Linked DNA regions of Struthio camelus. The protein of the gene in region 1 interacts with the protein of each later gene in a pairwise test. Links are inferred from orthologs where the notes say so. Each region holds a gene or a part of one and is shown in the gene's direction. Other genes may lie near its edges.

The links.
Region 2: the proteins of UBE2W (region 1) and AMFR interact in a two-hybrid assay, tested with the Homo sapiens proteins (2 studies listed by BioGRID and IntAct). The link is inferred for Struthio camelus from reciprocal best matches to the Homo sapiens genes UBE2W and AMFR.
Region 3: the proteins of UBE2W (region 1) and RNF26 interact in a two-hybrid assay, tested with the Homo sapiens proteins (2 studies listed by BioGRID and IntAct). The link is inferred for Struthio camelus from reciprocal best matches to the Homo sapiens genes UBE2W and RNF26.

The regions. Positions count from the first base shown.
Region 1 is NC_090943.1:129,384,518-129,395,366, forward strand, and holds the start of UBE2W (ubiquitin-conjugating enzyme E2 W), read left to right. Parts: upstream 1-5,845; 5' UTR 5,846-5,930; coding exon 5,931-5,945; intron 5,946-6,332; exon of another isoform or gene 6,333-6,428; intron 6,429-6,810; exon of another isoform or gene 6,811-6,891; intron 6,892-10,849. UniProt on the Homo sapiens protein: Accepts ubiquitin from the E1 complex and catalyzes its covalent attachment to other proteins.
Region 2 is NC_090951.1:21,994,002-22,004,083, reverse strand, and holds the start of AMFR (E3 ubiquitin-protein ligase AMFR), read left to right. Parts: upstream 1-5,455; 5' UTR 5,456-5,550; coding exon 5,551-5,778; intron 5,779-6,343; exon of another isoform or gene 6,344-6,358; coding exon of another isoform or gene 6,359-6,364; intron 6,365-7,359; coding exon 7,360-7,452; intron 7,453-8,984; coding exon 8,985-9,149; intron 9,150-10,082. Other genes in the region: NUDT21 (cleavage and polyadenylation specificity factor subunit 5), read left to right, coding at 1,050-1,113, 1,540-1,629, 2,312-2,387, 2,789-2,903, 4,267-4,288. UniProt on the Homo sapiens protein: E3 ubiquitin-protein ligase that mediates the polyubiquitination of lysine and cysteine residues on target proteins, such as CD3D, CYP3A4, CFTR, INSIG1, SOAT2/ACAT2 and APOB for proteasomal degradation.
Region 3 is NC_090963.1:3,185,349-3,195,202, forward strand, and holds RNF26 (E3 ubiquitin-protein ligase RNF26), read left to right. Parts: upstream 1-5,227; 5' UTR 5,228-5,829; coding exon 5,830-7,260; 3' UTR 7,261-9,352; downstream 9,353-9,854. UniProt on the Homo sapiens protein: E3 ubiquitin-protein ligase that plays a key role in endosome organization by retaining vesicles in the perinuclear cloud.

The DNA.
Region 1 (10,849 bases):
GTTGGATTTCTTTCTAAAGGTAGCTTAGGAGGTGGTAACTGTGTGGGAACATAGCAATACTGTGAACTAGATGTGTTGCATGAGATTGAAAAAGCCAGAAAAGAGCACACAGTAGCTTTTGTCATTATTATTCACCTATGAAGTTTGTTTCAGTGTCATCACTAGGGTAGCACAGAGAAAGGAAAAGTGACTTTTTATCAATTCAATAAATATATTTTAAACCTTATTTTAACTAGTGTTCTGTGTCATGAAATAAAGCTTTGAGTATGTTACATCTACAAATGTAGGCTATGGTGCAATCTGTCCTATATGGGAGAAAGGTCACTGAGATTAAAAAAAAAAAAAAACATGTCCCTCTATCATTGCCATGTTGCTGTTTTATGTGTACAGAATATAGGATTTTCCTCCCACACTATGTGGGAGGAAAATCAAAGATTTAAGATCGAGATTATTTTTTGACAAATGGAATACTTCAGTTTTTTATCCTATTGAACTTAACACATTTAGACAGTTTTCAAGACCTTAATCATATAATCAGTTTTGTAGCCTCGGTTGTTGAGAGTAGAATTTGAAAATTAACTTAAAATTGCCCCTGAAATATGTATTGCCTTTTAGGTTGGAGAAAGTAACAACTTGACCATTTTTAGACAACTTAAAATCTCATTGATTATCACTGATAATGATAAAGTGACTGATTTTCAGAATCATGCTCTGAGATAATTTGGGGGGAATATATGCATAGATTAATGCTGGACCTTATTTATTTGTTGCCTATTTCTATCCAGTTGAAAATTAGTGATAGTTCAACCAGAAGATACTCTGAAATTAAAAACATAAATACTGTGAATTCTTTCAATATTAATTCAAATTTAAAACTGCTTTTCAGGTGAGAATTCATAACGAAGGCCTCCCCCCCCCCAATACTACTGATATTGTATTTGCATGTAATAATAGAACCCCTTTATTTTTAAAATCACCACCACAGAAAGCCATAAATAATAAATAATTCATGTCTTGGGTCACTATAAATTCTTGCTACTCTGACTAGTAAAACAATGGAATATTTGTCAGGTAAGTTAATTATCTCTCACATAAATAGTTCTCAGTTTTGTTTGGCATCACCAAGCCTAAACATTATCTAGGATCTATTTGTATTTGGCATAAAGGATTTCATTTATCTTCTTACACTGGGAAAAAAATGTTCTGTATTATCATATTAAATTGACGTATAATGCTTTTCAGAAGCAACACTCCATTTAAGTTGAGAATTATTTCTAGTAAATTACTTGAAACTTGTAAATAATATCTATTGTCTTGGTTTGATTCTAAAGCTTTTACTGGTAAGATGCAGATAGTGTTTTCTGCAGGTGAGTCAAGTTTGTGTTTTTCAGAAGATTTGTTTCAGAGACTTGTAGTTTAATGCCCTCCGTCAAACTGGCAAACAGCAGTGGAAGGAGAAGTTGGCCCAATTGCTCTGGGAGGAATGTGGTCCTCCTCCTCACTCATGAGATGTGGTCTCCTGGTGCTGCAGAGTATGCTTGCTATGTCACTGGAGTAACACAGGGAGATTAACATGAATGTACAGTTAAGTTCGGTGTGAGAAGGAGACAAGATGTAAAGCTAGACAAGTGCAGTAGACTCAGAAGATCTCTTTCTCTCTTTCTCTGTCTCTCTTCAATGTTATAGCTGCAGAAATTGCAGAGAAGCAGGCAGTGACAGACAACTCAGTATACAGAAAAATGACAGAGGATTAAAGGGACAGCAGAGGAAAAAACAGTTCGGCAATGTTTGTGAAAACCTTACAGATAATGGAAGAAATGGAATACAAAATTATAAGGACCCAAACAGGGAGACATATTTGGCCTTTGTGAAACTGGCTAGACACATCAGAAGATAATCTAATAAATGCACTTTGAACATTGCATTTTTAATTTTTTCTGTAAACTTAAGGTAATGCAACCTATGGAAAAAAGTGAATTTCCAAGTCAAGTGCATGAATATTTACAGAAACATTTTTAGTAGGAGGTATGGCTCAGTCCTCATGATTTGCACTATATGTATTAGATATGCAAGGCATAAAAGTGTATTTGATCAGACCAATACAAGATAGCTCCTGAAATAATGAAGATAGATGAAATTCATTTTACCTCTAAAGTTTTGAATGTTTGGGCCTAGGATTCCAATCTTTGAAGTCTCTGGCAAAACTTGGGTTGACTGGTGCAGGGTCAGAGTGTATGGGCCAAATATTAAAGCTTTCTTTAATAAAAGAAAAGCTGTCAATTATTGTGTTGGCTATCTTTACACCTGCAACAGATTGATAAGGGTTAATTATAAAAGTATAGGTAGAGGTCAGCACTGAAATGAACAGCAAACTACTATAAAACCTACTCTTTCTGAAATCTATGCTCTCTGGGAGTTTGGGTTTTTCCCTGGTTAAATTACTTAGAGCAAAGAACAGTATGAGCCATCACAAAATCACGAATTGAAATGAATTTAAAGAAGAAAATGTTCATACAAATTCTTTCCAGAAGTCTGTTAATTGTATACGTTTTACTATTGTGCTTAAGGGATTGAACCCCTATCGCATTAGGGACTGTACAAACACTTACTAAAAAAAGGAGACTCTGCAACCAAGGTTACTGATATGAGACATGGGGAAGGAGAAAACAACAATAAAACCCAAGGATAATTCTCCAGCTTTCCTATTCCAAAAAACAACAAGAGGAGCTAAAAATGTTGCACACCTATATTAGGTGATTGCATGACACATGAGAAAACAACAGATGAAAACATTAATAGAAGAAATCTCTGGTAGTCCTGTAAGAATTAACTGCTCAAACTGAAGTTAGGGATAAGGGGACTCTGGTCACAGACTGCAGCTGCACAGTAACACAGCTCAGCTTCTTACACATCCAGCTAGGACATGGTAGGTAGTAATCCATTTATGTCTTATAGTTTATGTGAAGGGCAGATTCTATTCCTTGCTTTACATGTCTGCTGTTCTCAGGAATGGGATTTGCAGTGTGGATGAGGTTATCTCAGTAAATGTTATTTTAGTCCAAAGTGTTGCAGGTGCCTGTTTTTCAGATTGAAAGTGTGACCAGAAAAAGAATTCCCAAAGAAAAGAACAGTAACAAGCAATGTGTTTTTGCTAAAGCAGCGTTTTGTCTACAGAATTTTTTCTTTACTACAGAGTGGACGTCATATTTGTATTGATTACAGTTATCCTTAAGACTACAAAGCTGATCTTTTCATTTACTGTATCTGGTAAACGCACAAGAGCAAAACCACTTTGCAATCTATCAAACATAGGGGCATTCATACACTTATGCCTTGTTGTATATTCTGACCTTAGAGAGGGTTTCCTGTAACAGGTTAAGAAACTGAATATAATGGATTCAAATCAGTTTTATCCCACTGTGATTACATCAACACGAACAGTCAATATGTCCCTGTTTATAGCTGAACACATGTCCACTGCCTAAACTTGATGTTCTTGCTGTCTGTGTGGCATATGGCATTAAGAAATGTATTTTAGGATAAACATATGTCTCAATCATGTAAAACAACAACATCTAGTAAAATAGTAATAACAATGTTGCACCTAATATTGTAACTGCCTAAGTTAGTTCTGAAGGACTGCGCGAAAAATTTTCACTAGTTCTAAACGTCTCTTTAACACAATAAATCTTTCACAACTCAAGTTGTGTCAAGACGTAATACAGCACATAAACATTGACTTCCAGGAAAAACAGATGGAAGACTCTTGTGACTTAAGTGTCACTTAATTGAAGTCAGTAGAGCAATGCTTGTTTACAGTGCTCAAGGAGCCTATAGGTTTGTGACTGAGCTAATGAAAACTCAGAATTGAGGCTAGGTTAGATTGAATTCACAGGACAAAAAGTAAAGGATTTAGCTTCCTGGATGCACTGCAATGCTTTTTCTATCCTTACTTTTGGTAGGCTAATCTCCTTTCATACTCTAAAATCTACACACACTCACAATTTTGTCATCAGCAAATTCCTGCAACAGCAGCAGGTTCAATCCCTTCTGCAGCTAGCCCACTGAGGAATGATATTCCTGTTGCCTTCTGTTGTTCCCTTTAAGCAAACCACAGAGGTTTGTACACTCAGTTTAACTATTGCAACTTTGCTGAATCTGGATGCAAGTTTGAATCTGACGTGACATTGCGTGTTGGGTTTTTGTTTTTCTCCAGTTAGCAGTTTTCAAAGCTGGGCATATGTATGGAGCATACAGGAAGGTAAAGCCTGCATGTAGAAGTAATACCTTGTATCATACCAAATAAAGTGATTATAGAAAGTAGGCAAGATGCACAAGCCTTCTTTAGGTCTAAAACTGAAACAGCAGACTTCAAAGCTAAATACAAATTGAGAACAACTGTTCAAAACTTCAGTTTGGCCATCTCTGAAAAAAAAAGTAGGTGCTACCTGTGGAGTAGAAAGGATGAGAGTTGGAAAGGTGAGAAGGGTGAAACACCCTTCCTATTGCCAAGGAAGACAGAAAGATAGGTAGTTTACTTCCCTTGGCACATAGAGAGACATTAGTGGGGACATGGAGATTATAATGAGCCATAAAACCATTATCTTTATTAAGTTGTTGGTTTTAGGTATCCACTAGGACTGTGGGTTTTATAGGTTTGTCTTTGGAAAAATATTTTGTTGGTTCCCTTGGAGGATCAGGTAGGTCTGAAATACAGCTGGAATAGCTTTTGTGAAAAGTGTTTCTTCAAGGTGCTTAATTCACTGATTGCATGTAAGTTAATTCCTGCAAGTGCTGCTTGTTTATTTTCACCTGGTAAGTTACCACAAGAGTGTTTGGTGCAAAGGACAGAAAATATTCCAATCCAGGAAATGAAAATGTAGGATCCAAAAAAATTCTCCCACTTACAATATATTCATGCTCTGTAATTCAGGCACCGAGGCCACAGGTGCAGAAAAAAGTCCAAATCAGAGATTATCTGAAGAACTCTGATGGTGCAGCATGGGAGACAAAGAGAAACTTCTCCCTCCTCATCAGGACAATTTCCATCACCACAAATTATAGCCAGACGTTTTCCTGCAGCAAGCCAGCTAATAAACCCAGGGTACTTAGTCCAAAATGCAGACCCTAGCACTGCCTGCTGTGGATCTCTAATCCTCCTTTCCCGAAATGACAAATCAAATATGAGACGAACTTGCAGAAACCCATAAAAGGGAACAGCTGGCATTAACTAAATCCCTTAAGGACTGTGGATGTGCAGTTCTAAAAAACCTTTAAAAATATGTAGGCCACCGCTCGCACAGCAGTTCTAACTCCAGCACGGCAACCACGTCCATCAGCAGGGAGAACCGTTTGCCTTTTTGGAGCTGGCGAATCCCTCCAAACCCGGAAAAATACGGCAACCACTTGGTCCTCGCTAAAGAAAGGAGTGAGGAGGCACAGCCATGCCTCGCCGGCGCTGCCGGGTGTCAGGGCGGCGGCGGCGCCGAGGCCGAGGCCACCCGCCCGGCCTTCCCGCCTCACGCGGCTCCCAACGGCCGCCCCTCCCCCCCGCGCGCGGCCCCCAACGGCCGCCCCTCCCCCCCCCCGCCTGACGCGGCAGGGGGCGATGGGGCCGGTTTTTCACGACTCCTTCCCACAGCGTGCTCAGGAATGGTCCGGGCTGACGCTCTAGGGCTGCCCCCCCCAAAAGCTTCCCCTCGGAGGAAACCCGCTCCGCTCGGCAGCGGGCGAGGCCAGCCCGCGGGGGCGAACCCCATGACGAGAGTGCCGCCGCCGCCGCCAGCCCTCCCCGCCCCCGGCGCATGCGCGGCCGGGCCGAGGGCAGCGCTTCCCACGTGACCGGCGAGGGCGGGGAGGAGACGGGCGCGCGGCGCTGCGTCTCTGTGGGTCTGGGCCGGCGGCGCAGAGGGGCGGGGGGTGGATCCATCATGGCGTCTATGCAGGTGAGGAGCTTGCGGCGGAGCCGGGCAGGCGGGGGGGGGGTGGCCAGCGCCGGCAGGGCCTGGGCAGCGGCGCCCTGAGGGCGGGAGGAGCCACTTGAGGGTGGGGGGAGCGGGGCCGTCGGGGCGAGGGGAGCCCCCGTTGGGGCAGCGGTTGGGGGTCCGTTGCGGCGAGGCCCTGAGGCGGGCTCGGGGCCGGGGGCGCCGCCTGCCGCTCGGCGGGGCCGGGGCCGTGAGGGAAGTAGGGTAGAGCTCGTTGCCGGCGGCGGGATGGAGCTGGGAGCCGCAGGGGGAGGCTGTGAGGGGCGAGGCCGGCCCCGGCTGTGGCGAGGGGAAGGGAAGGGAGGAGGGAGCAGGGAGTGAGGGAGGGCGGGCGGGCGGGCGGGGCAGGCCGGCCCGGCGGGGGAGGAGGCGGGAAGGGCAGAGATCCTGTAGGGGAAGGACGGAGCGGCTGCCGGCCCCGAGGGCGGCTTGGCCCCAGGAGAGGTCCGGCCGCGATGCAGCCCTCCGGGGAGCGGTGGGGGGGGGGGGGGGGTTGGTGGCGGGGGAAGAGCGAAGAGAGCCGTGGCCCGGGCGGGGTTTGAGGGCGCCGAGGCGTTGTTGGCTCCTGGGGAGGTGGCGGGCTCCCCCTTTGCGGCGGCGTGGTCGACCAGCGCGGCGGGGTGGCCTCGCCGGGGCCGTCGTGAGGACGGTGTTGAAGGATGTGGCCACCTTCCGAGAGTTTCTGAGGTTACGGCCCTGTTAATTCTGCTCAAGCACAGGGTGGTTGCGACAGACCAGTTTTATCCTAAGCAGTGTGCAGGTGCTGCCTGTGAGGTTCGTTCTGTCTTTCTCTCTAAAATAAGCTCGTAGTGTGGTTTCAGTCTGATGGACAGATAACGTCCAGTTTGGCTTGGTTGGATGGGGTTGCTGTAGGTGCGGTAGCAAGAAACATCCTGCTGCTTGACAGGTATTTCCACTTGAATTATTTATTTATACCTTCTCCGAAGGAGTTTTAAAATAGTAGCTGTAGAAATTGATCTGAAAGAATGGATCACTTTCACTGTGTGCTATTCTGAACGGGTGGTGATTTGTTCCGTGACATGCCTAGGACACGGGCAGGACAAAAGATTACCTGGTTTTGTGGCTATGCCCCTGTTCTTATTTCACCTGTAATATTTTTCTTGCTAAATTATAAAATGTTTGATGTTGTATTTAGATCCAGATGATCTACTACTTCCGTTTTACTCCTCAAGCTGCTGCTACTTTTTTTTTTCCTCCTTTTTATTTTCATTGTGGTCCAGTGTAGGTTACTTTTTTCTGTTACTACTAAATGGGACAGTGCAGAAAGAGTGTACAAACTAAATCAAATTAGATAAATTTGTCCTGACTAGCCTGGATTTCCAGTGATAATGAGAAGTAAAATGTCAGAACATTGACTCTTATTGGGTAAAGATTTTGCTGATGAGGTTTGGAAGAATAAAAAAGCATTGTATGTCTTTTTGAGTTACTGAAATGGGATCAGAACATGAACATACTGTACCGCAAGTTCTTGATTTAGTAGCAGTTTAAATAAGATAAACCAAAGACAGATTAGTCTATCAGCTCTATCTGGCAAATGTATTTTGTAATTTTTTTTTTTTGAATGTTCAAGCTCTTACAAGCAAGGCTGCAAAATAGAAGCAATAGTTCATTAAGCAGAGTCTTGTTTAGAACTGTGTAAAAACCCTAGGGAAATGATAATTTGGAAACTTTAAGGATACATTCCCTGGGACTCTGTAAACCTGTGCTGCGTTGCTATCTCTGGCCTATTAAATGACCTTGTACAGCTTGCCTCACCGTTGTTCCTGCTGCTCACTTTGTAAAAGAGAAATGGTGATTACAAATTAAGTAAGGTTGCTTAAAATACGTGAATGCTGTCTGAAAGGACGATGACAGTGATATGTTGAGGTGGTACTCTTTTCCTGAAAATATGGCAGTGGTAAGTCCAGTATTGTAATTCCTTCATTTTAGAAATGCTATCTGCAAGATTTCTGTGGGTTTTTTTAATGATATTTTGTGATGTTGTGATGAGAGATTGAAGGAAAATTATGGAGGTTTTTTAATCTTACCAATCGTATAACCTGACAGAATTTTTCTTCCCTTTATCCTAAAGATGAGCAATAAAATTGGAAGTATGAATTTGTAGAGTTTTTTTAAAACTAGTTTACTTAAACTTCTTAAACTAAAAATAGCTAGTCTGATATCTTGAAGAGATATTTTTATTTAAAAAAAAATTTAAAAATTGAGCCTGTATCTGGAGAGTTAATGAAACCGACATCAAGAAAAGATTTGAAGAATAGAGAGGATTATTACAATTAAATTGGTTGACATCACACTAACATCACCCACTGTATTATTTTACTGGGGGTCAACCTTTGTTTAAAAAAATCAATGACTTTAAAGTTTAGTTTAAAATGTGAGAGTTAACAGCACTAATTTGAAAAAAGTGACGTGTACATAACCTTTGGTATTAGTCTGGTCCAAGACTTGAGGATAATAAATATCATAATTCGAATCTTGAAGTTTGAATCCTAAAAATGTTAAGTGTTAGGTAGGCTGAGTGGGCAAATGCTAGTTATCTAGTATTTTTGTTGGGCAACTTTTTCCAGGGCATTTGCTGATACTGATTCTTAAGCACCCTGAAATCTGTGGTTAAGCAGGATAGCTAAATGTTTTGGTAGCTATATGTGGTATGACAATATACAACATACTGATTTTTCTCATTAAAATGATAAGTTGATATGTAAATTTTAGATCACTTTTTAAAGTGCTCTCATTTTGTACAGTGTTGTATGTGCCCTAGGTTGATGATATTCTTTTACAGACCCACTGACATTTCTTTGATTAACTTAGAGCTCGAATGCTTGATCAGCCTATTCTGTCAGGCTACAAGGAAAGTTTTTAAACTGTATCAAATTACCTCCTTTTGATAATAGCAATGAACATCCACCTCAACAGCTACTGTAGTTCACTTGATGCATAATGACTTGTAAAGCTTGGGTGTTTGAGCAGAACGTGCAGAATTTCAATTTATAATGAACTTCATCTGCAGTAACATTTTTTTAATTGTAGTTTTCTCTGACTATTCAGAAAAATAGAAACTAGTGTTGGTGAGATCTTGTATTTTGTTTTAGACAACACAGTGGTTGGAAAGTGTTGGCTAGTTCTATCACTAGGTTGATTTAAATATGATTTGCAGGATTTTAATCAAATACTATTTCTTTTAACAAAGAACTTGATGGAAAAGCATTTTTTAAAGATTATTTACAGGAAAAAAAGGCTAAGCTTGTGCAACTTCTTCATGAAAAACAGTAGTATTCTGGAAGATTGTGAGTGGTGCATAGACTGCGTAGATAGAATGTATTTGCTTAAGAAAATTTCGTGTAACACTTCTAATCTTAAACATTAAAGCTCTAGGTAACATAACATAAAAATGTACTCAGAGCATAATTTAAAGCAGTTTTTATTGAGATTTCAGTAGCTTGTATACATTTTCCCTATCCCCTTACCCATTGGCTAAAAAGATTGGGATGAAATTTGTGGGAAGCGTCTGTATTGCTAGTGGCTTGTGTTTTGTGCTAAAGTTCTGAACGGTCTCGAACTGTAACATAAATTCTACATTCAAATCTAGCGTATGATTGTTTATTTTGTTAAGTACCTTTTTAGACAGATATTTTGCAGGAAAAGTTAAATTTTGTTGTTGGAAAAAACTTAGTCTGTTTTATTTTGATGTGTACAGGTGTTTTGATGGTGGCCCATATAGCAGGCAGTTTTCAAGGGCAAAAATAAAGTCCTAATCAAACATGAGGTGAGGGCTAACATTCTGCACTCTTTACTAAAGCTTTTAATGTCATTAATTACATTAGCTCTGTATTTAATCAGATTTGAATATCTTCTTGTACAAACCTCATGTGCCTAATTCAAATGAAGAGAGCAGAAGTTATTCTGGTATTAAAGTACACCTTTAAAACTGTTTCCATAGACATGTTTGCATTCAAATATGTCCATTGAGAATTCAGGTTTGCAAGGAACGGGGTATTAAACATTTAAGGAGGGGAAGGGTAGAATGGTAGTAATTAAAAAGTCAGCATTGTGGATAAAAAGCATATTTCGAGCTTAAGGCATGAACATTTGATATCTGTGGGTTTAGGGAAAGGTGTTAATTCAGAATTTGACACTTTGTTTAGAAACAATTTTTTTCCCTATATTTTCAGTTGAGCTTCTTTGTTTTTATTCTTTACCTGCTCTTCCATTCTCAGGGGAAGTTCTGTGTTTCTAGCTGCTTGCAGAACAACTATTTATTGCTTAATATTTCTTCAGTGTTTGCAACATGTTTATGTAGTAATTTGGAAATCATTTCCTCTTTACTGATCCGACAGCTCTGTCCAGAAAAGTTCTAAACTATTTTTAATGTAACTTAAAACAAACAAACAAAAAACTTAAAAAAAAAAAAAAAGTAAGAAAAAACAACTCTTCAATGAGTTTAAAAAAAAAACAATGATGTTGCTGTTAGGGGGTCATAAGACAGCAAATTATTTATGTTATTTCAAATAAAATATTAAATACAGTAAATTAAAAGAGTAATTACTTAGTAGTTACAGCCGACTCTGGGATATAAACACAATGAAATTATTGGTAGTTATTAAGTACTTGAAATATTTAGTGATGCCATTGGTGAAAGACTATTGAAGATGAAAACTTTAATCATTCCTTAAACTAAAAAATGCAAATACCATGAATGAGGCCAGAGTGAGTGGAAAGTAATAGTATTTCTCCTGTCCGCTAAGTGATTTAGTCCTTTATGTAACCTTCAGTTATCTGTCTGTACTGATATGTAGTATATTAGTTTTAGCCTGTAGTCATGCTACAGTAAAATAAGATAAATG
Region 2 (10,082 bases), on another chromosome or scaffold:
ACTTGTTACAAAGCCTAAAAATATTTTGAATGGTGAGGTTTTCTCGTAAAAAGTATTTTTGTCTGTGCTCACGTAGCTTTGAACCAACTGGGAGTCTTATGCTGTGTCACAATAGAGGGTTCCTATTTAAAACTCGTTATCAGAACTTTGTGCTTTATCCCTGCATTGCGAAAGCTGTGTTATGTTTAAATATACTTATGCTGTGGGCAGAAAAATAGCAAGGTGAAGCTTAAGGCAGGAAGCTGGGGTAAACGCAAAATGATAGCTGTTTGCAAACTACCAAGTGAGCTGGGTACAATTAGGAAGGTCTAATACTTGTCACTGCAGGAATGAAACTTTCGGGGTTGGATCGTATGTTTGTAGTGATGAAGTTGGTGCTTGATTTTGTTTTAGTTTTAACTGTATGGGCTTGACTTGTCTCAGGTTATCCTGCTTGTGTTCTGTCTTATATTTTTAGCACGTTGTTTGTTCTTTAGTGTGTGCTGGTGGGGAATCTGTATCCGCTTTCTTTTTTTGACATCTTATTTGGAGGGTGAGGGAGGGGACAAAAATAGACTAGAGTCTGAAAGTTTTTTTGAAAATAGGTATTGAAGAGTCCTCCTAGGTTTTTTGCATTAACCTTACATTAAATGGTTCTCCAGAAGAGTTTTATTTTCTGCTTCAATGCGTGTTATTCTTGAGATTAGGCCAAATGCAGTCAATATCTACAACCTTTTCTTCAACTCTGTTCTGGTGCTTTTCTGTCATTGTTAAAACTTCACCTCTTAAGCATCTCAGTTATTACCATGTATATAGCACTTTTAGTTCCTTTTCTAGAAGGACATGCAGTAGTTATTTCAGTCACAGTTTTGGTAAAAGCAGTGTTACTCTGTCTTCAAGCTTGGAAAAATAAGATTTGGAACTTAAGGCTGAAGGGCCCTGAATGAATTTGTAATTCCCTACCTGGAAGAACATCCAAACATACCTGTGAATGCCTATAAATATAATAAAGCATAACTTTAGCTTTCATCATTGGTTATCAGCAATAATATGGCTGATTATTTTAACAGACCTGGTGGTGAACTCAATCCAGGGGAAGATGAGGTAGAAGGGCTCAAACGCTTAATGACAGAGGTCAGTTTTCTTTCCTTATGTTGGCTATACTGGAATGTTATGGAATGCTGAATTATTCTAGAGTTAACAAGCCAAAGCGTTGCAGTAATTGTCTTACCGTTTCTATCAGTTTTACTCTTTTGTGATTGTTCGTAAAGGTACTTACTGGTGCTGTCACTGAAACATTGCACTTCATTCTTCCTATTGGACTTAGGGCACTCAGTTCAACTGAATATAACACAAAATTTGAAATGCTTTCTAAAATGTCCTTGTCCTGTGTCACTTTATACAGAAGTAATCTTCTGACATTCTAATAAAAGCTGTTCCAGCCTGGCTCTGAACTGCATCAGACCCTTATTACAGCATCTCTTTGTGCTTCCGCTGTGTGTTTTCTAAGAAAATGGCATGGGTTGTTTAGAGTTTTGACTGTACCTGGGTTTTTGATAGATACTGGGGCGCCAAGATGGTGTTCAGCAAGACTGGGTAATTGATGACTGCATTGGTAACTGGTGGAGACCAAACTTTGAACCTCCACAGGTGAGTACCTGGGTCTGCACTTATGTTCTTTAGAGGCAAATACTGACTGTTCTTACAGAAGCCTCAACTTGCCAGTTGTGAGCGCATACCTGCTGCATGAGCAGTTGGTCCTGCTGGGTTTCACCTGTCTCCTCCTTTCCTCTGGCTGAGGAGGAAGGATCCAACCTACAAACTTTTTCTTTGGGAAACCGTTTTTCCCTCCTTGTGCGCCTCCCAATAGATAAGTAACCACTGGATGCGGTGGTTTCTGGTCCTGTGCTGAGCTGGACACACCATCTAAACTCCTGTTTGATCCATGATGGAAACTCATGCACTGGTACATCTGAAACAGATGCCGTGTAAACAAAATAATCTCATTGCCTTATTTCTAAATGCTTTAATATTGAAAATACTTGCTCAGTTTGCTGCCATGTGTTTCTGTCTTGTTGGGTTGTTTTAACGGGTTACGAGTACTGGCATCTCTTTTTAGATCCTGTAAACGGTCATGAGGCCAACCAGCGTTCTTTTCTGCATACATCCTTATAAAAGTATTTTTCATTGTCTCATACCATGAAAGAAGAATATATGATAACCTGCTGGAAGCTTCCACAGTGCTCTTCCGAGTCTCTTAATTATAGAGCAGCACTTAAGAGCGCACAATATTTTCAAAGATATGTACAAGTAAATTTGTTTTTTCTTTCAGTATCCCTATATCCCAGCTCATATTACAAAACCAAAAGAGCACAAAAAGCTTTTCTTGGTCCAGCTTCAAGAAAAGGGTAAGTGTTTGCAACAGGGAGTTGCATTTATAAAACTCTATAAATACTTTCATTTCATGCAAGGAAATGTGGTACCAAGATTCAGTAAAACTCGCTTGCAGTTTTTAATGAGCAAGCATATAACTGTGAAGAAGCCTTAAAAAACGTAAGTGCTGGGGTCAATTATGAAGGTACATGAGCTTTTCTGAACATGAGTTTCTAGTATATTCCCATTACTGCTCCTATGTCAGTACGTGTACAGCACATGAGCCCCATGTCCAACTATAAATGAAATAAAGCCATTCTAGTACTATAGTGCTATATGCGGTGATCTTGTGTTTGGCTGGGAGTGGGGAGCAACATCTTGGCTGAATGCTTGGTGTTCTTTCATTTAATATTAATTAACTTGTACTTGTTCTTAGCTTTGTTTGCAGTCCCCAAAAATTATAAGCTAGTAGCCGCGCCGTTGTTTGAGCTCTATGACAACGCACCAGGATATGGACCCATAATTTCCAGCCTTCCTCAACTTCTGAGCAGGTATATTATACCTTGTATTACAGTTCCTGAGAGCTGTGACACCATAGCAAAGTGGGGCAATACAGAAACAAAATGATTGTCGCTGCCCTGAAGAGCTTGGACATGATGGATTTATAAAAATGTGAGGTGGGAAAGCTGTGGGACATGAGGAATAGGTAGATGGTGTTGACAGTTTAGAGACAGTGATTTCAACTTACTAGCACCAGAGTCTTACCTGGTAGTTTAATGAAAGGAAAATCTGAAAGATAGTGAAGACGAAGCTCTGCATGTACTAAGGAACTTTTTGAGTATTGCAGATAGTGTGAGAATAAAAACAGACTCATGTTTGAAGCATTGAGTTAGGCATTCATGTTATCACTGCTTTCTGTGGTGATTAAATGTGTTTTTGTTTTTTGTTTTTTTTCCCCTCCAGACTCTATGTAGTTAAAGTGCACTTATAACACAGATACCTGTAGGGACAGCTGTATTCTTTCCTCCCTTTTCCTAGCAAGCGCATTCTTTCCACTTATTTGAAAACGGCTTGTACCTCAGGTGTCCAGAGCTAACTAGTCTTACGAATTTCTGTTACTTCAGCAAATGTTCAGGAGTTCCAGACGTGCTACAGCCTGTCAGTTGTTACTCAGGGGAAGGAGTTACGTCATCCATCTATTCTCTATTAGCAGAATGTTGGAATTGATATCACCTATAATAAGTTTGCATGCTGTGTATATTTGTCCTCTGTCTATACTCAATTTTGGCAACAACTGCTATAGAAGCTTTTGCCCCGGCTCCATGTAAAGACAGCAGAAGCTTTCTCAAGAGTACTAGCAAAACGCTGGCCATTACTCATCCTAATGCCAATTTGGTACCTCTGCAACAGACATTGAAAGGAAGGACATCTGCAAGTTGAGATGGATGCTTATTTTCACAGTATAGCTTATCAGGAATATTTGTACAGTGCTCTTCTGTCTGCTGTGAAATTTAGTTTACAAGAATGACTCTTCTGTTGAGTATGTCCATCTGTTACTCCTGGAGTGTATCGGGATGGTGCTGGTCATAGAAATGCTGCGAAAGAGTTGTGTACAGGGTGCAAAACTTGCACTGGTATTTTCGTATCTGTGAAGCTTGCTAAAAGGTGCAGGAAGAACTAAGTATGTCCTCTCCTAAGAGGCTGATGTACGATGCTAGCCTAGCATCTGTTGTTACAGATAATGCTTCCTGGTTATACCAAAGCTGTCCTATTAAAAGGTTTTTTTTTTCCCCCCCCCTCTGTCAGAAGGAGGCTTATTAAGAACAGAAACAAAACATTTGCTTATTAATTCAAAAGTGTTCCTTAAATGAAAGGAATTAAGTCTCTCACTTGGTATAATCCTTTTAATTTTAGGTTCAACTTTATTTACAACTGAATTCCCATATACCTGAGGAGTGTGATAGAAGAAGCCGTCTCTGTGAGCACAGCTTTAAAAATGTAGAGAAAAGAATACGTGTGACGCAAGGATTTTTTTATGTCGTTCTTTTCCTGAAGGCCACTAAACTTTCTATTGTATGAATAGAGAAGTGAATCTCAACTGTTTAGATAGTGGGATGGCAGTGTGATATCAGTGTTTTAATCACTTTTCATTGTAATACTCACCAAATTTTTTTTGTACAACATTAAACAAAATGGATCAGATTCTGTTTGTCCTTTTTACTTGTCTCCCCCTTTTAAGAACATATTTTAGACTTTATTACTTTCCTTCAGGAAATCAGGAGATCTTGGGGAAACAGGAGGACCTAACCTGTTCTTGGGAGCACTGAGATGCTCTCTGACCCGCATCCTTGAGTAGAGAATTAGTCTGACAGGGAGTCTGAAAAGTATAAGTCTGTGCAATATCATGTTGAGTGTCTTTGCTAAAAGTTAGAGGACCTGAATTGCTGTTTTGAGAGAGTATGAATACTTAAAGGCAGGTGTGGCTGCTGTTCAAAGCTCATCAGCACTGATCTGGAACTTCCCTGTTTGTACAGGGCTTGAATGAAATAACGTGCAACTTCCCCTTCCCCTGAAGGAGGAAGGGAAAAAAAACCCTCCACTACCTTCTGTTCGACTGCTCTGACATTTGGATAAAATCTGAGAGTAAAATTAACTTTCTAATTTTTCTGAGGAGAAAGCTCTAGGACTGAACTTTTGGGGAGTATGCAGGGGTCCCCATATGCTACTGTCCTTCTGCAGCACACACGTGTATTGTGCCCTCTTGCAAGGGATTACGCTACTTGGGCTTGCTCTCGTCCTCCTGTCGCAGGTAATAAGTAGGGCTAGGCGTCGCTTCCGCAGGCCTGTAGCCTCCAGCCTTTTGCCAAACGACTGGCAAGGACTTAAGTTTCCCGTTCCGCCCGGCTGCCCGGGAGAGGCGCCGCCGGGCACCGGGGCAGAGTACGCGCTGGCGGGGGGGGGCAGCCCGACCGCGGCCGAGCGTGACTCAGCGCCGCGCGGCCCCGGCGGGTCGCCAGGGCGAGAGCCGGCGCGGGGGCGGCCCGGCCCGGCCCGGCGAGGGGCGGCGCCGCTGGCGGGGGGGGAGGGAGGGAGGCGGCGGGGCGGGCGTTAGGCCGCAGGAGCGGAGGGGAAGCGCGGAGCGAAGCGGGAGGCCGCGGCCCGGGTCGGGGCCGGGCGGGCGGCGCAGGGGGCTCCGCCATGCCGCTGCTCTTCCTGGAGCGCTTCCCCTGGCCCAGCCTGCGCACCTACACGGCGCTGAGCGCCCTGGCGCTGCTGGGCTGCGGCCTCAGCGCCTACCGCGCCCTTAGCCAGGCCCCCGGCGGCGCCGAGGCGGAGGGCGGCGGGCGAGCGGAGCCGCCGCGCCGCGCCGGGGCCCTGGCCCTCGACGTCGCCTACTACCTGCTCTCGGACAGCCTCTGCGTCTGGGTGAGACCGGGGGCGGCGGCGGGCGGGGGGCCGCGATCCCTCCCCTCTCCTCCCCTGCGCTGCGCTGCGCTGCGCTCCGGGCGGCGGCGGCGGCGGGGGGGGGGCCGGGCCCTGCCCGCGGCGGGTGCGGGGAGCCGCCGCGGAGCAGCCTGGTGGCGGGGGCGGCCGGGCCCGGCCGGAGCGCGGTGGAGCGGCGGGGCCGCCGCGTCCCGCCTCGCCGCCCCCCCCGGCCGGGGCCGCCGCGCTGGGGCGGCCCGCAGCTTCGAGGTCCGGCCTGCAGCGGGCCGGGTCGGGCCCGCCCGGCGCCGGGTGAGGCCCGCAGGGCCGTTAAGCTGGTTCCGAAGCTGCTCGGGAGCCTCAGTCCCGGCTTTGAACAGGGTTTTTTTTTTTGTCGTTGTTTGGGAAACGCTCCCTGAGCGGTTGGGTCGCTGGAAAAAAGACGTAGCTGCCCGGGGGCCGCGGCGGCGGGCTCGGCGCTGAGCGTGGGGCTGCGAGAGAGGCGCGTAGTCAACCCCGGCTCCGAAGCGTTGCCTTTTTTAGTTTAAAAAGAGGAGAAAAAAAAAAAGAAGAAGGTGAAGTCATGCAGGTGATACGAATCGTTCTCACCATCTAAACAAACAAAAAAAAAAAGGGGGGGAAGGAAAAAATGTGCGCAGCTCTTGAAACCCGAGCCTGACAATGGTATAGATATAAAGCGAGAAATCTTCCTGCACTCCTTTCCGTATCGTGTCTAGTGACATAAAGGCTCAAAAAGGGGCTACCGAAAAACCTAGCTGGGCTGTCACTGTTTAACTTCGCCTTGTTAGGCGTCTGCTTTACAGCCTACCGCCTTGACTGGGGCTTTGATTTTGGATGTGCTTAAGGTATTAAGCCTGTTGAGTCCGTTTTGAAACTTGGGCTTAGGAGCTTAATTGAAAGCCCTAGAAAAAGTTGGTTGCGTGGCCTTTAAGAGCGAGAGGATGAGGCGGCCTCGTCGCTTTTTTCCTCCCGCTTTTGGTGTTCTGTATGGGTCAAAAGTATCGTCGTCCAGTAGGAGAAACGATTTTCCCAGGCCCGTGTGTTCTGCTTCTTGCTGCTTTGGTTTAAAACAGTTGCCCACGGCTGTGATCCAAGGATTTAAGCAGTGTAGTTACAGAAAGTATACGCGTTATTGAGTATATTTAGAGACAATTTCTGAATCTTCTTCTTGTAACGCTTAACAGGTTTGAACTGGAGTTTTCTGATCTCCTGTGTGTTGGTGATCTATAAGTCTTCGGCTCCGCGTTCCTTAGTGTTAAACGTGCTAATTTTTATCAGTTTATCGTGAAGAGGTAGATTTGTTTGTGGGGTATACTGACGTATCAAACTGATCACGTTAGTGTTCCTAGAAAGAAAGTCAAGTGAGTTATCAGCTACAACACGTGTCTTGGAAGAGGCCACGCAGAAACTTCACTTTTAAAAGGAAAAAACAATAACGCAAACAAGCAAAAACCCCTCTTCCGTGAGCAACGGGTGGTTCTGCTAGACTCCGGCTTTCCCCGTCCCTCTCCCTTTTTGAGCAGAGCTGAAGTATTTGCTGCTGACTGCTTTGTTTCTTTTCAGGTACTAGTGAACACTGCCTGCTGTTTTCTGATGTTGGTCGCCAAACTGATCCAGTATATGGTGTTTGGTCCCCTTCGTGTTAGTGAGAGGCAGGTAAGATGGGCAAACGCATTGCCTTGGATATCCGTGTTGCTTTCACGTAGCGTAATTTCTCGGTGGATGACTGGTGTAGTTTTCTATAATGAACTTCCTGAAAGTTATACAATAAATATAAGTTTTAAAACAGTGTAAGCTTAAATCTTACCATTTGGAGTTCTTCCTCTGGAAAACGCTATCCACTAAAACCGCAGAGGAGAAAATCCACCCGAGAAACCCATCAGTTTGTCACGCAAGTATTACTTAGCTCGTATCCAGAGCCACAAGCTTGCAGTTTATTTCTGAGTGGAATTTTTCATTTTAATTGTTGCTGTTGTTTTTTACAAGCCCATGGTCAACTTGAAAATCCTATTTCCTTAATAAACGTTGTCAGATTTCTTAAAAGGGCACCTCATTTCGGAATATTTCTCTCTCTCTCTCTCTCACTCTATATCTATATATGTGTATGTGTGTATATATATGTGTGTGTGTATTCTTCTCTGTTAAGCTTGCATTTGACAGCTTTTCCTCTGCATTTCATAGTTAGTTAGTTGTCTGCACTGGCAGGTTGAGTTCACTCTTGCAAGTTGTCTTGTGCCTTGACTGCCAGAGGAGTGTGCGTACTTTCTATCTTCAGACATTGAATAGATGGTCTGTCTGTCCTCAGGTGTAAAAGGGGTTGGCATGTAGGTACCCAAGGGAAGGTGAGGTGAAAGGACTGAAAACTCAGATTGTTTGGTTCTGGTCTTAGGCTAGGTGAGAAGATTTTTAAAACATCCTGCAGGAATTTTGCACCTGTCTTAACTACCCTACTGGTCATGTTCTTCATCCTGTTCTTGAACAAAACATTCCATTTTATAAAATTTTTCCATCTCCAACGTCTTTTTTATTTGCTATTTGAGACCATCATACTGTTTCTTTCATACTGTGTGTGCGTGGGAATAATTAATTTTTTATTGCTCATCCATCTCGTTCGTCGCTGTTTGCATTGTGCTTTTTAAGAGCAGACTTCGTCACCTTTTCTTAATCATCTCTGCACTTGATGTGAAAAGTAGTTAGTGTGTATTTTTGGACAGTTTTTTTGGAAGTGAGGTGCCACGTCAGGTGGGCACCCGCTCTAACTAAGCGTGGCCGTTCATCTAATCAATCCAGCAGAGAAAACTTGATGTTTGTGGCCCAACAGGCCCGCTGCTTGGGCATGGAAAATCTAATCAAGATCAGACCTCCTTTGTGCTAAGCACCATTTTAGAAATATGGCAGGAAAGCACGCTGTGCGCTATGTGGCACTATTTTGCTGCAGTGGCACCAAAGACTGAGTAGATACTAAGGGCTTCTAATATTTCTAATATGGTTTGAGATTCTGTAAGGTTAACAAATACTATTCTGGGTGGGTATGCAACTGTCCTTTGTTAACATATTTTCATGTTGCTATTCCCATCATTTTCTCTCCCTCCCTTTCTCCCCTGCGTATTATCTGCTATGAGCAGGCAGTTTTATGCATGTGAGTTGTCGGTGCTTTCACTACAGTAACCAAGTGTCTTCCTTTTCAGCATCTCAAGGATAAATTCTGGAATTTCATTTTCTACAAGTTCATCTTTATTTTTGGCGTGCTGAATGTTCAGACAGTGGAAGAAGTGGTCATGTGGTGCCTCTGGTTCTCAGGACTTGTGTTTCTTCACCTCATGGTTCAGCTCTGCAAGGATCGCTTTGAATATGTAAGCTTTGATTAAGGGCTGTCTTTTGGGACGCGCAGATTCCATTTCTGGTTTGGGCACTGACTCATGACGGGTTGCAAACAGATCATTTAGACCTTTTCCCCAACCTGTGGTGCTGAGCACGTGCACCTCCCATTAGCTTCAAATATTTGGAGTGCCGTGTCACTCTTACTCCTTCAGTTTTCCCATCAGACAGAGCTGAAGATACGTATTTTCTTTAGTAAATTGTTCCATGCAGTGCCCTGTAATTTCTTTTACATAACTCCATAAGGTGTCTTCATAGCTCTCCTTAGTGAAGAAGTCTTGACAACAGAGCATCCCTTAGATTGGTGCCCTTTGGGATTGATCCCGAAAGCCTCTTTCTGTGGAGGCTGTGCTCAGGTTTCATGACAATAGTGCTTTTTACATCTACCAAACGTTGACTGCAAATGTCCTTACGATATACAACTTTTTCACATAAGCTGTATCGCAGTTTGTGTTCATACCAAGAATAAATTCGACAGAGAGAGACGGAGATATTGAAAGCTAGGCAAGGAGGAAGGAACAGGAATTTGAGCAATAAGTCTTTCCCTTTAAACATCTGTACCGTACGTGTCTTTTCCTCAGCTCTTCTTGTCCTGGAATGAACATTTAAACTAAAAGGAATTCCTGAATTTCCTTTTGGTAGTGTAGTACTTTGTAATTTTTTTTATTAGTATCCAGTAAGTTCTGTCAGTTCACGAGTAATTAAGTACTGAAATTGAAACTAGATTGGTTGGTATTAGGAAAGTCGAGACAAAAATGAACAAGGCAGTCATCTGGTAGTGTTTTAGTGGCGTTTAGAAAGCAAAGCCTCTGTAGGAAGATATCCTTGTTATGTGAATTCTTGAGAGGAAACTTGGAAAGGGGTTTTCCTTCTGCCTTCAAAGCTTGTATCATAATATCAGACAAAAT
Region 3 (9,854 bases), on another chromosome or scaffold:
TTAACCATGGCTACGGGGGCCTTTGTTTAGGAGCGGAGCCGCGGGCGAGGGGCTGGGCAGGCGGAGGAAGGAAGGACGTGAGCGGAAGGGGGGAAGGAAGGTGACATCTGGATTTCTGCGCTGGAGGAGCGCAATCTCCACGGGCAGCTGTGTGGGGGGCTCAGCGGATGCAGACCCGTGGCAAAGCCCCAAAAAGAGGGGCCCGGCCGGTGATAGAGAGACCCGGGGGTTACCCAGGCTCGCGCCATGCAGAATGCTGCCCTGGTGGTCCGCCCCGCGGGTGGGTGCAGCGGGCAGGAAAAGGACGCAGGTGTCCCGGGTCTCCAGCTGCCCTGCAAGGGCTGGCTCGCGCGGTGTGAACGACACGGTTTGGGCCCGGCTTTGCTGAGAGCAGCGTAAGGACGAAAGGGAGGCTGTGGCGCCTTCCCGGGCACTGCTCGCTCCCTGCCCCGGGGAGGCCCGACCCTCGCTATGCGCAGGACGGACGGACAAGGACAGCTGGAGGAGCGCTCCCGGGGGAAACCTTAGCCGGCAGACGGCCACCACCAAGGCTTGAGGGAAGGAGCCCCCCGCCCAGGGCTGGCCCTGTCCCTCGGCGTCCCCAAGACATGGCCTCCCCACGGCTCAGAGCAGGTGCAGCCCCGCTGCAGCGTGCAAACAGCCACGTACTGCACACTCGCTCGCGCACACGTACAGCCAGAGCAGGACGGTCACATATATGCCTGGGGCTCCACTCCCAGCCCCTAATCCCCTGCGCTCCTGGTGCAAGGGGAAGGCTGTGGGGCTGGCGGTAGGGTGTGAAAAGGGCGGCTGGGTAGCTGGGAGCCCGGGGACAGCTATTTTTAACCCAGCCTTTTCCTTCGGAAGACTTCTGAGTTCATCTCCCCCCTCGTGCTGGCCGGAAAAAGGCCCCATTGTCTTGGCGCCAGATGGGCTGGGGCCGGGCACTCGCCGGCACAATAGGGCGGATTATGTGCCCGGCCAGCGGGGGGTCCGGCAGCAGGGATGCCCAGGAGGAGCAGCTGCCTCCAGCATCCCCGGCACCCGCGCCGCACTCCCGCCGCACGCCGCCGAGGCCAGGGGTCCAGGCGGGCTCATTCATTGCCCGCTGCTAATCCCCCGGCTCCCGGCGGGGCGGCGCGGGCTGGCTCTGCCAATAAGCGGAGCACCACGTTGCCCGGCTGAGGACCAGCCCTACGAACCACCGCCCCCAAAACGGGGATTCCTGCTCATCGGCCTCGCCTGCGGCCGCTCGCCCCTGCGCCTCCTTTCTCCGCACAAGCATCAGTGCAGGGGCAGGCCAGCCAGGGTCCCCCGCTGGGGGCAGGACGCCTGGGCTCTCCCCCCGCTCAGCACTGCTCCCCTCCTCATCCCCTGGGGCTCCCCAGGCGGGAGGGACAGGGACCGGGGCTTTGGGCCATCCCCGGCGAGGCTGCCCGGCCCAGTCCCCTGGCTTCCCCGGCTGGCTGCCGGCTGCCCCAGGGCTGGCTGAGCTGCCCGCCGCCGGGGAGAGCCAGCGTCGGGGCCCGGTGTCACCCTCCAGGGTCGCCTTGGTGCTGGTGCTGCCTGCAGCGTTGGGGGGTGCTCCCCCCGGACGGCTCATTAAGGGCAACCGCAAGGAAGGGTAACGAGAGATGAGCCCCAGGCAGAGGGACGCACCGGATCACCCGGGCCCAGGGGAGCGGAGGGGCCCGCCGGGCCGAGCAGGGATTTCTCTGTGCAGGACTTTCCCATGGAAGAGGACTTGCTTTTCCCAGGGCCGCCTGGCTGGGCTCCAGGAGGAGACGAACATCCCAGCTCCCGTCGCGGGGAGCCGCGCAGCCCGCCAGAAGCAAGGTGGGCAGCCCTCGTGCTCGAGCTTTCCCACAGGTTTGCAGGCAGAACAAAGGCAGGGACGGCAGGAAAGGTGCCTCTTCCTGGGGACGGGCGATCTGTCCTGCGGCTCCCGAGGCGTCCTTGGGGCTCTGCCCCACCGCGAGGGCCCGAGGCGAGGCGAGGCCGCGCCGGCCAGGGCGCTGGCTGCCCTTTCGGCGCTGGCGGGAGCGTGTGCGTCGGCGAGGGTGATCACCTGCGTCTTCAGAGCGAGGCGAAGGCCAGAGGAAGAACCTTGCTGCCTTGGAGCCGGGCCAGGTGAGCCGGGGGACGGGGACTTTCCTGGAGCGGATACGCCGGAACGACCTATTGTTTGCGCCTGGCTTGCAAGCGCAGGGTCTGCCTGCACCCGCGGTCGCGCCAGGACATCTGCCTGCCCGGCGGCGAGGGCATCTTGGAGGGACCCGGAGTAAGGCTGCTGGCCGGGGTCAGGAAGCCGGTGCTGGCTGCCTTCTCCCACAGCACCAGGGCGGCCGGGCCGTGCGCGTGGCCCGGCGTGGGCGCGCCAGGGCATCTTCGGGGATGGTCCCAGGTGCCTGGCTGGGAGCGACGGCACGGTGCCAGCTGGACCCGCAGCCCAGAAACGCCCTTCCTGCCTCTGGGACGTGCCAACGGGGGAAGCTGGCCCCGGGTGGAGCAGGGGGAGGCCAGCAGAGCCTGCACATCCCCTGGCCCGGAGGGAGCCCTGGCTGCCCCCAGCGCCGTTCCCCCACCAGCACCCCCTCCGCAGCCTGCGCGCCTCGCTGCCAGCCCTGTCTCTGCCTCCTTTCCCCCGTTCCCCCGCCGCCCCACGGGGGCTCCGGCGGGACCTGCCCGGCGTGCCCCGCCGGCACGGCACGGGCTCCGGCGGCGGTCGCTCAGCCCACCTGGTTGGCCCCACTTTCCCGCAGTGCCCCGCGGGGTCCCAAAGGAGCACCGAGGGCCCCGACGAGGGGCAGCGAGGCCGACGAGCGGGGCCGGCGCGGGGCGCCCTGCCCTGCTGCCGCAGCTGCCGCGGGCACAGCTGGCGGCGGGGTGGCATCGCGCCCGGACCTCCGGCAAGTGCGGGGACAGCTGGCCGGGACCCTCCTGGCCACCGCCCAGCTGCCTGAGCCACCCAGGCAGGGACCTCCGTCCCGCAGGGGCTCTGCGGAGGTGAAGCGCGGCCCGCCAGCACGGAGCAGTTCCCGCCGGGGGTCTGCAAGCCGCCCTCGCCTGCCTCCGCGGGGACGGCCGAGCCCTGGCCTCTCTGCCGCAGCTCTGCCAGCTCCGCCTGCCCCGCGCAAGGTCCCAGGCGAGCCCCGGGGGGGCCCTGCGCCCCGGCCATCGGTCAGAGCCGCCGTGCCAGCAGGGACCCGGAAACGCCGTCAGGAGACCACCGCTGCCCCCAGCATCCTGCTGCTGCCGCACGCTGTGCCCACCCTGCAGGGACACGGCACCCACCCTGCAGGGACACAGCACCCGCCATGCAAGGACATTGCACCCACCCTGCAGGGACACAGCACCTGCCCTGCAGGGACACTGCACCTGCCCTGCGGGGACATTGCACCCACCTTGCAGGGACATGGCAGGCGCCATGCAAGGACATCACACCCACCCTGCAGGGACACAGCACCTGCCCTGTGGGGACACTATGCCCACCCTGCAGGGACACTATGCCCACCCTGCAGGGCTGCAGCGGGGCAGGGGCTGAGCCAGGAGCCGGCGGCCGAGGCGAGGCTGGGGCAAGCAGAGAGGGGGCACACGTGCCCCTCCGCCACCCCGGCCCCTGCAGCAGCGAAGGAAAAGCGCCGCCGGGGAGCTGCGACCTCCCAAACCTGCACTCCTCGCTCCCGTCTCCGTGCCCCTGCGGGGGGAGGCTCCTGGGGCATGGGCCCGGGGTGCCAGGGACGGTGCCGGGAGCGGGGCAGGGGCGCTGGGAGGGGGGAAGCAGCCGCAGGGGCCCGAACGGCCCCTCCCCGCGGCCGCGGGGAAGGAATGAATGAAGCGCGCGCAGCCGCTGGGCTCTGCCCTTTTTTTTTTTTTTTTTTAAGTAATAAGAAATCCAAACATTACCATAAATGCTCAAAGCATCTTGGCCCCCGTCACGTGGGTACCGGCGCGCACACACACCGCCGGGGGGGTCCAGGCACCGGGCCGGGGAGGGAGCACACAGCCGAAACCCAGTGAGCCCGGGAGGGAGGGGAAGGAGGATGGAGGGGATCCGGCCGGCGGGACAGACTCCCGGCGGGGAGTGCACACACACACACATGCACACGCACACACACGCACGCTCGAGGGCTGGGCGGTACCCGGGAGCATCAGCCGGCGCGAGGTGCTGGGACACGGCCCCTCTTGCCCCTGGCTCTTGCCCCAGCTCAGGGAATTAGAGGGGGTGAAAAAACGCGAGGGAAAGGGAGGGCGGCTGCTCTGGGCCTGCCGCCGGGCAGGCGTCCTGGTCCCCCAGGGCTCCTCCCTTGCTGCCCGGCGGCGCCGCGCTCTGCTCCCTGGTGACGAGCTCCTGAGGGTGCGGATGTCTTTCCCATGGATCATTCCCTGTGCTCGCTCTCCCCTTCCTTAAAAAGCCTGGGCTCCAGGGCTGGATTTTCCTGGGCTTGTCGTCACCATCAGGGCGGCGGCGCTGGACTGTCTCCCGGGGGGCACAGCGGAGGGGAGGAGGTGCGAGATGTTGGCAGCCCAGCACCCCGCCCGGGAGCTGGCAGGGACGGCGGGAGCTGCTCAGGGCTGTTGCGTCGGGAACTTTGACCTGCAAAGCAAACTAGGCCCCTCACCATAACCTTGGGCCAGGTAATAGCCCCAGGTTTATTTTGGGGCCTTGGGTAGGAAATCGGTTGGCTGCAGCGAGAGCGGTACTGCCCCAGCCTGACCCTGGGCCGTGCCTACTCCCAGTGCAGGGACTGGGGACAGAGCCAGCACCAGGCAGCACAGGGGACACAAAGGCCGCACGTGACCCATCCCTGTCCCAGACACATTCTGCCCCAGCTGTCCGCACTAGTGAGCATGAACCTTCTCAGCGCCCGGGCTGAGACCGTTGCACACTCACCACACGTGTGACCCCCATGAGCCGCCGCCACCCCCCAACAGCCCCACCGCGGGCCCTTTAAATCCACCCCGCCGTGGGCGGGGCCTGGCCCGGCAGCACCAGCCAACCGGAGGCGGCTCTGGGGGAGCGGCGGACAGAAGCCACGCCCCCGCGCCCACTTCCCCCCCCCCCCCCCCCCCCCGCCCCGCCGCCGCGTCCTCCGAACCGCCCAATGGGAGGCGGGAAGAAGCGTCCGCCGCCGCTCATTGGCCGGCGGCGCGCCACCGCCCGCGGCAAGATGGCGGCGCCCAGCGGCAGGGGGTGCGGTGCGGGCCGCGGCTGAGGGGCGCCCGCCCCAGCACCGGGGGGGCCGCCGCGACCGGCGCCCCCCTGCTCCCCGCCGCCTTCCCCTGCTCGTCTCGGTAGCCTCGGCCTCCCCCCCGGCCGTTACAGCCCTTCCCCGCCCCGCCCCGAGCCTCGGGCCCGGGCCCCCCTCGCTGCCCCGGGCCTCCCCCCCCGACCGTTACAGCCCTTCCCCGGGGTCCCCCAACCCCCCTGCCCCCCGGGGCCTGGGACCCCCTCGCTGCCCCGGGGCCCCCCCGACCGTTACAGCCCTTCCCCTGCGTCCCCTAATCCCCTTACCCCGGTAACCTCGGGGCCTGGGACCCCCTGGCTGCCCCAGGCCCCCCCCGCACCCGAGCCTCGGGATCGGGCCCCCCTGGCTGCCCCGGGGCCCCCCTGACTGTTACAGCCCTTCCCCGGCTCCCCGCCCCCCCCCCGACCCTCGGGTCCCCTCTATCCATCCCCTTCCCCTAGGACCGTTAGGCCCACCTGCCCCCATCCCGGGCTCCCCTTGCCCCAAAGCCCCCTCCCCCCCACCTCCTGGCTCCTCTGCAGCCCCCCTCTGGCCCCGTGCGCCCGTCCACGTGCTCCCGGGTCGCCCGCCCAGCCCCACCATGGACCTGGTGTTCCTGCTGCTCCGCGGCCTGCGGCTGGCTCTGGACCTCCTGGGCTTCGTGCTGGACGTGAACTTCTTCCTGGTGTCCTCGCTGGTGTCGGCGTTGCTGTGGCTGGTCGCCTTGGTCTACAACCTCCCCGGCACCGCGGCGGCTAGCGCGCTCGCCTGCTGGAACGGACTGCTCCTCTGCTTGGCGTCCCTGGCCGAGGCGGCGTGCTACCTGGCGCTGGGTGTCGTGCACGGCCTTGCCGGCCTGCTGCGCAGCTGCTGCTCCAGCCTGGAGGGGCTCAAGGTGGTGGGGCACCTCCTCTCTCATCTGGCGCTGCGGAGCAAGGAGTTGCTCCACCGCGGGCTCTGCAACCTGCTCGGCTCTGGCCAGACCTTGGTGAGGCAGGTGTGCGAGGGCCTGGCCATTGGCATGAGCCTGCTCGCGTACTTCGTTAACAGCATCATCAACATGTGCCTCATCGGCATGCAGAACCTCTTCACCTTGCTGGTGGCCCTGTGGGATTCAATCGTCAGCCCCTTCCTGAGAGTCACCGACCTCCTGGCCGCTTTCCTCGCGCATGTCTCCAGCAGCGCCATCGCCGTGTCCATTCTGCTGTGGTCGCCTTGCCAGCTGGCCTTCGAGATCCTGGCCTCCATCACCAAGCTCTTGATCAACGTCTTCTTTGTGAATATCTATGGCCTGGTCTTGCTCATCCTTATTATTGTCGTCAGCACTTTTGTCTTCAACCCCGGGCTGCTGTGGATGCTGGCAGGCCATGTGCTTGGGTACTTGAACACGCTGCCATCCTACCACCGCCTGCAGAGGGATGCGTGGCGGCTCTATCAGGTGGCGCTCCTGACGCTGGGCATGGTCATGACCTCTCAGGCCTGGCGCAGGTTGCTGGACTGGAGTCTCCAGGTGGCCAACTGGAGCAGAGGAGGCAGAACGATGAACCAGGCGAGCAATCAGCGAGGGGCAGCCATGCCTGCCTCAAGACCAGCAGCTCCTGGCAGGGGGGTGCTGGCAGGGGGCGGCCAGCTGGCAGGTGGGGAGCACGAGGACCAGCCAGACGTGGAGCAGGTACCACATGCGCGCCCGGCTCTGAGTCGAAGCACTGTTACAGGACAGCGTCTCCAGGCACCCAGGGAAGAACCGAGCACCTCCTGGGGGAAAGCTCCAAGGAGAGAGCAGCTGAACGCAGCAGCTGGGGATGGTGAGGCTGCTCTGGACGATGACCCCTGGATGCTCCTGAAGGAACAAGAGGAACGTAAGAAATGTGTCATCTGTCAAGACCAAACCAAGACAGTCCTGCTCCTGCCTTGCAGGCACCTGTGCCTATGTCAGGAGTGCACAGAAGTCCTCCTCCAGCAGGCCATCTACCAGCGCAACTGCCCGCTGTGTCGCCAGATGATCCTGCAGACGCTCAATGTGTACTTGTGAACCCAGGAGCGAGTAGCTTGGGCTGTTTTTCCAGAAGGTCAAGGACCATCCCTGTTGCTGCCTCTCGCCTGGAAGCAGAATCACTCTTCCCAGTGCTGCCTCGAGTTTTCCAAAGAGCTAAGGATGATGCTGAAAGGGGAAGAGGCTGTTGGGGGTGTCTGTCAGCCACACTTGTAATTGTAACTAGCCTGTAGCTGTCGCTAGCAAGCACAATAGCTGATCTCTGCAGCAGGCCAAAAGAGTTATCTTTTTCTGTTGACATTTGCTGTTTCAGGGCCTGTTGCCTTGAGCTTACAGCAGTTTGAAATCCAAAGCAGAGCTCAGAAAGATGCTCTGGTCCCTCCTAGCCAAAGCTGGTGGAAAGCTTCATGACCTCCTGGGAATCACAAGGGCTAGCGCAAAGCAAAGGAGGGCTTTGCTGCCAAGATTTGGCCAGCAGCTGCCTGAAAACTACCTGGCAGACTCCATTCATACCTGTCCTTCCCCCTCCCACCAAACCAACTCCCAGGGAAGGGAGCAATGTGCCCCTTTTGGGAGGCCCTAGGCAAGCCATGAGCACCCTCCAGTTTTTAGGCTTTGCTACCAAAGGGCTGAGTTTGGCTCCCAGCTGGAGAACAGCAGGATTTCTGGGGCCACAGCAATACTTGGGTATCCCAGCCACTGTGGCTTTTGGTTTTGATCTTCCTCTTCCCCTTGCTGGGATAGTGAGGAGCCGCAGAGAACGCGGGCTCCCTGCAGGCTGGCCAGCTGCAGAGCTCAGTGTTGCTGCTGCTTCCATGTGTCACCTATGCAAGAATAATGAGCACATACCAGGTTACTCACATGTGGGCCAGGGGGTGGGGGGGTTACTCTCTCTGCAGAGGCAGTGGTGCTGCTTGGAGAGCCCGGGAGGTGGCCCGCGTTCGCACAGCCCTGCCCTAACCTCGGTAGCAGCAGCGCGTGTGTGAGCTAATGCTGGAGAATCCTCCCTAGATAATACAGATTTTAGAGCCCGGCCTCCGGACTTGGATTGCCAAGGAGCTGGGTGGTTCATAACAAAGCTTGCTGCGTGCCAGGCTGGGCGGGCTAGAGCGAGCGACCATCTGGGAGGAGAGGGGACACCCCCAATCCTCCTGGGAGCCCACTGAGACATTCCAGTTCCTGGTACGAGTGCTGCACGGCTGCGCTGTGGATCCACAGTTGTGTACGTGCAGCAGTACTGGGACCCCAGCTGTATTTGATTACAGCAAGGTTCCTCTGCTGTTCTGTCTTACTGCCTGTCTGAAATGTGAAATGCAACTAATTTTATTTAAAAGTGTCCCCGGAAGTCAAACCATACTATCGGCTGCTGGCTGGGGAGAGCTGAGACGGCTTGTCCCAGCTTGGTCAACCAGCACCATTCCAAGAAATTGCTGGACTCCAAGAGGGCCTTGCATTAAAAAGCTCTCCCTTTTCCAGCTGCTTGCCCGGGGTCAGCCGTGCTCCAGAGCCAATTTTGGCTGGAGCACTTAAATCGGGAAGAGCCTCAACGCCTCGATCACAAGCCAAGAGCCTGCAGGCAGCTGGCGTGGTTTCCTCACTGCTCCTGTTAACTAATAATTGATAAGTGATCTAAGTCCAAGTGGAGGCGGCAGCAAGGCCAGGCCATGCCGGGAGACGCCTTTTCGCTGCAAACCTAAGCTGTGGCAAGGACAAGATATGATGAAAGCGGCGCTGCTCTGGGGAGGGCACTGCAGGGGCTGGTTCCCTGCCCTGGGCTCCTGCGGGGGTCCTCGCTCAAGAGGAGCGGGGCAGCTGGACCCTCCCCACCGCGCGCCTTTGGAGGCACCTGGGAGTGGGGCTGCTGGCCGTGCTCCTGCCTGCGGGCAGAAGTGTTTGGTTGGGGACAGCTCATGGGTGCTGGGGCGCAGGGTTCCCCAGGTGCTTTTTCAGGGAAGGAAGGACACCTTCCCAGGACTGCAGTTTCTCCCCTCAAGCCCCCTTTCTATTGTAGCAGTCACGCTTGTCTTTTTAGGGCCTGTTTGTTTGCTGTTTATAAACAAAGAGAGAAAGCTTTGCCTTAAGGTTAACTCTTTGCACTATGGACTAGATACTGAGCAGATTAAAGTCTCCTTTCCCAAAAACTGCCTGCTGCCTTGTTCTTGGGAGCGGTTTTCTCTGGGGAGACAGGGTCTCGCCTCTGCTCGGCCCTGCGCTCTGGGTGGCCCTGCTGCGGAGGAAGCCAGTCACTTCCTCACAAGGGGTCGGAGCTGGAGGATCGACGTGACCTGCAAACGCATGGGTACTTGCTTGAGGGGTGCCTGCGCCCCCGAAAAGTGCTGCCGTAGGCAGTGATGAGGGACAGCCCAGAGCCAGGCTGCTGTGCGGGAGGGCACCTGCCACCCAGGAGGTGAATTAGCGTTTGAAGATGCTGCATCCGAGGCTCCTCGCTGCGGCCAGGGCCGAAGGCGCTCCCGCGGCTTGCGGCTCCCAGCCCTTGCCTTGCTGACCTGCAGTGAGAGGAGGTGGTTGTGGATACGCCGTGCAAGGGGACAGGGAGTGCAGCTTACCGGCACCGGCGCTGCCGTCTGCGTCTTGCGCAGCGACGGGGCTGGTGCTGCAGCCGCCTCTGGGCC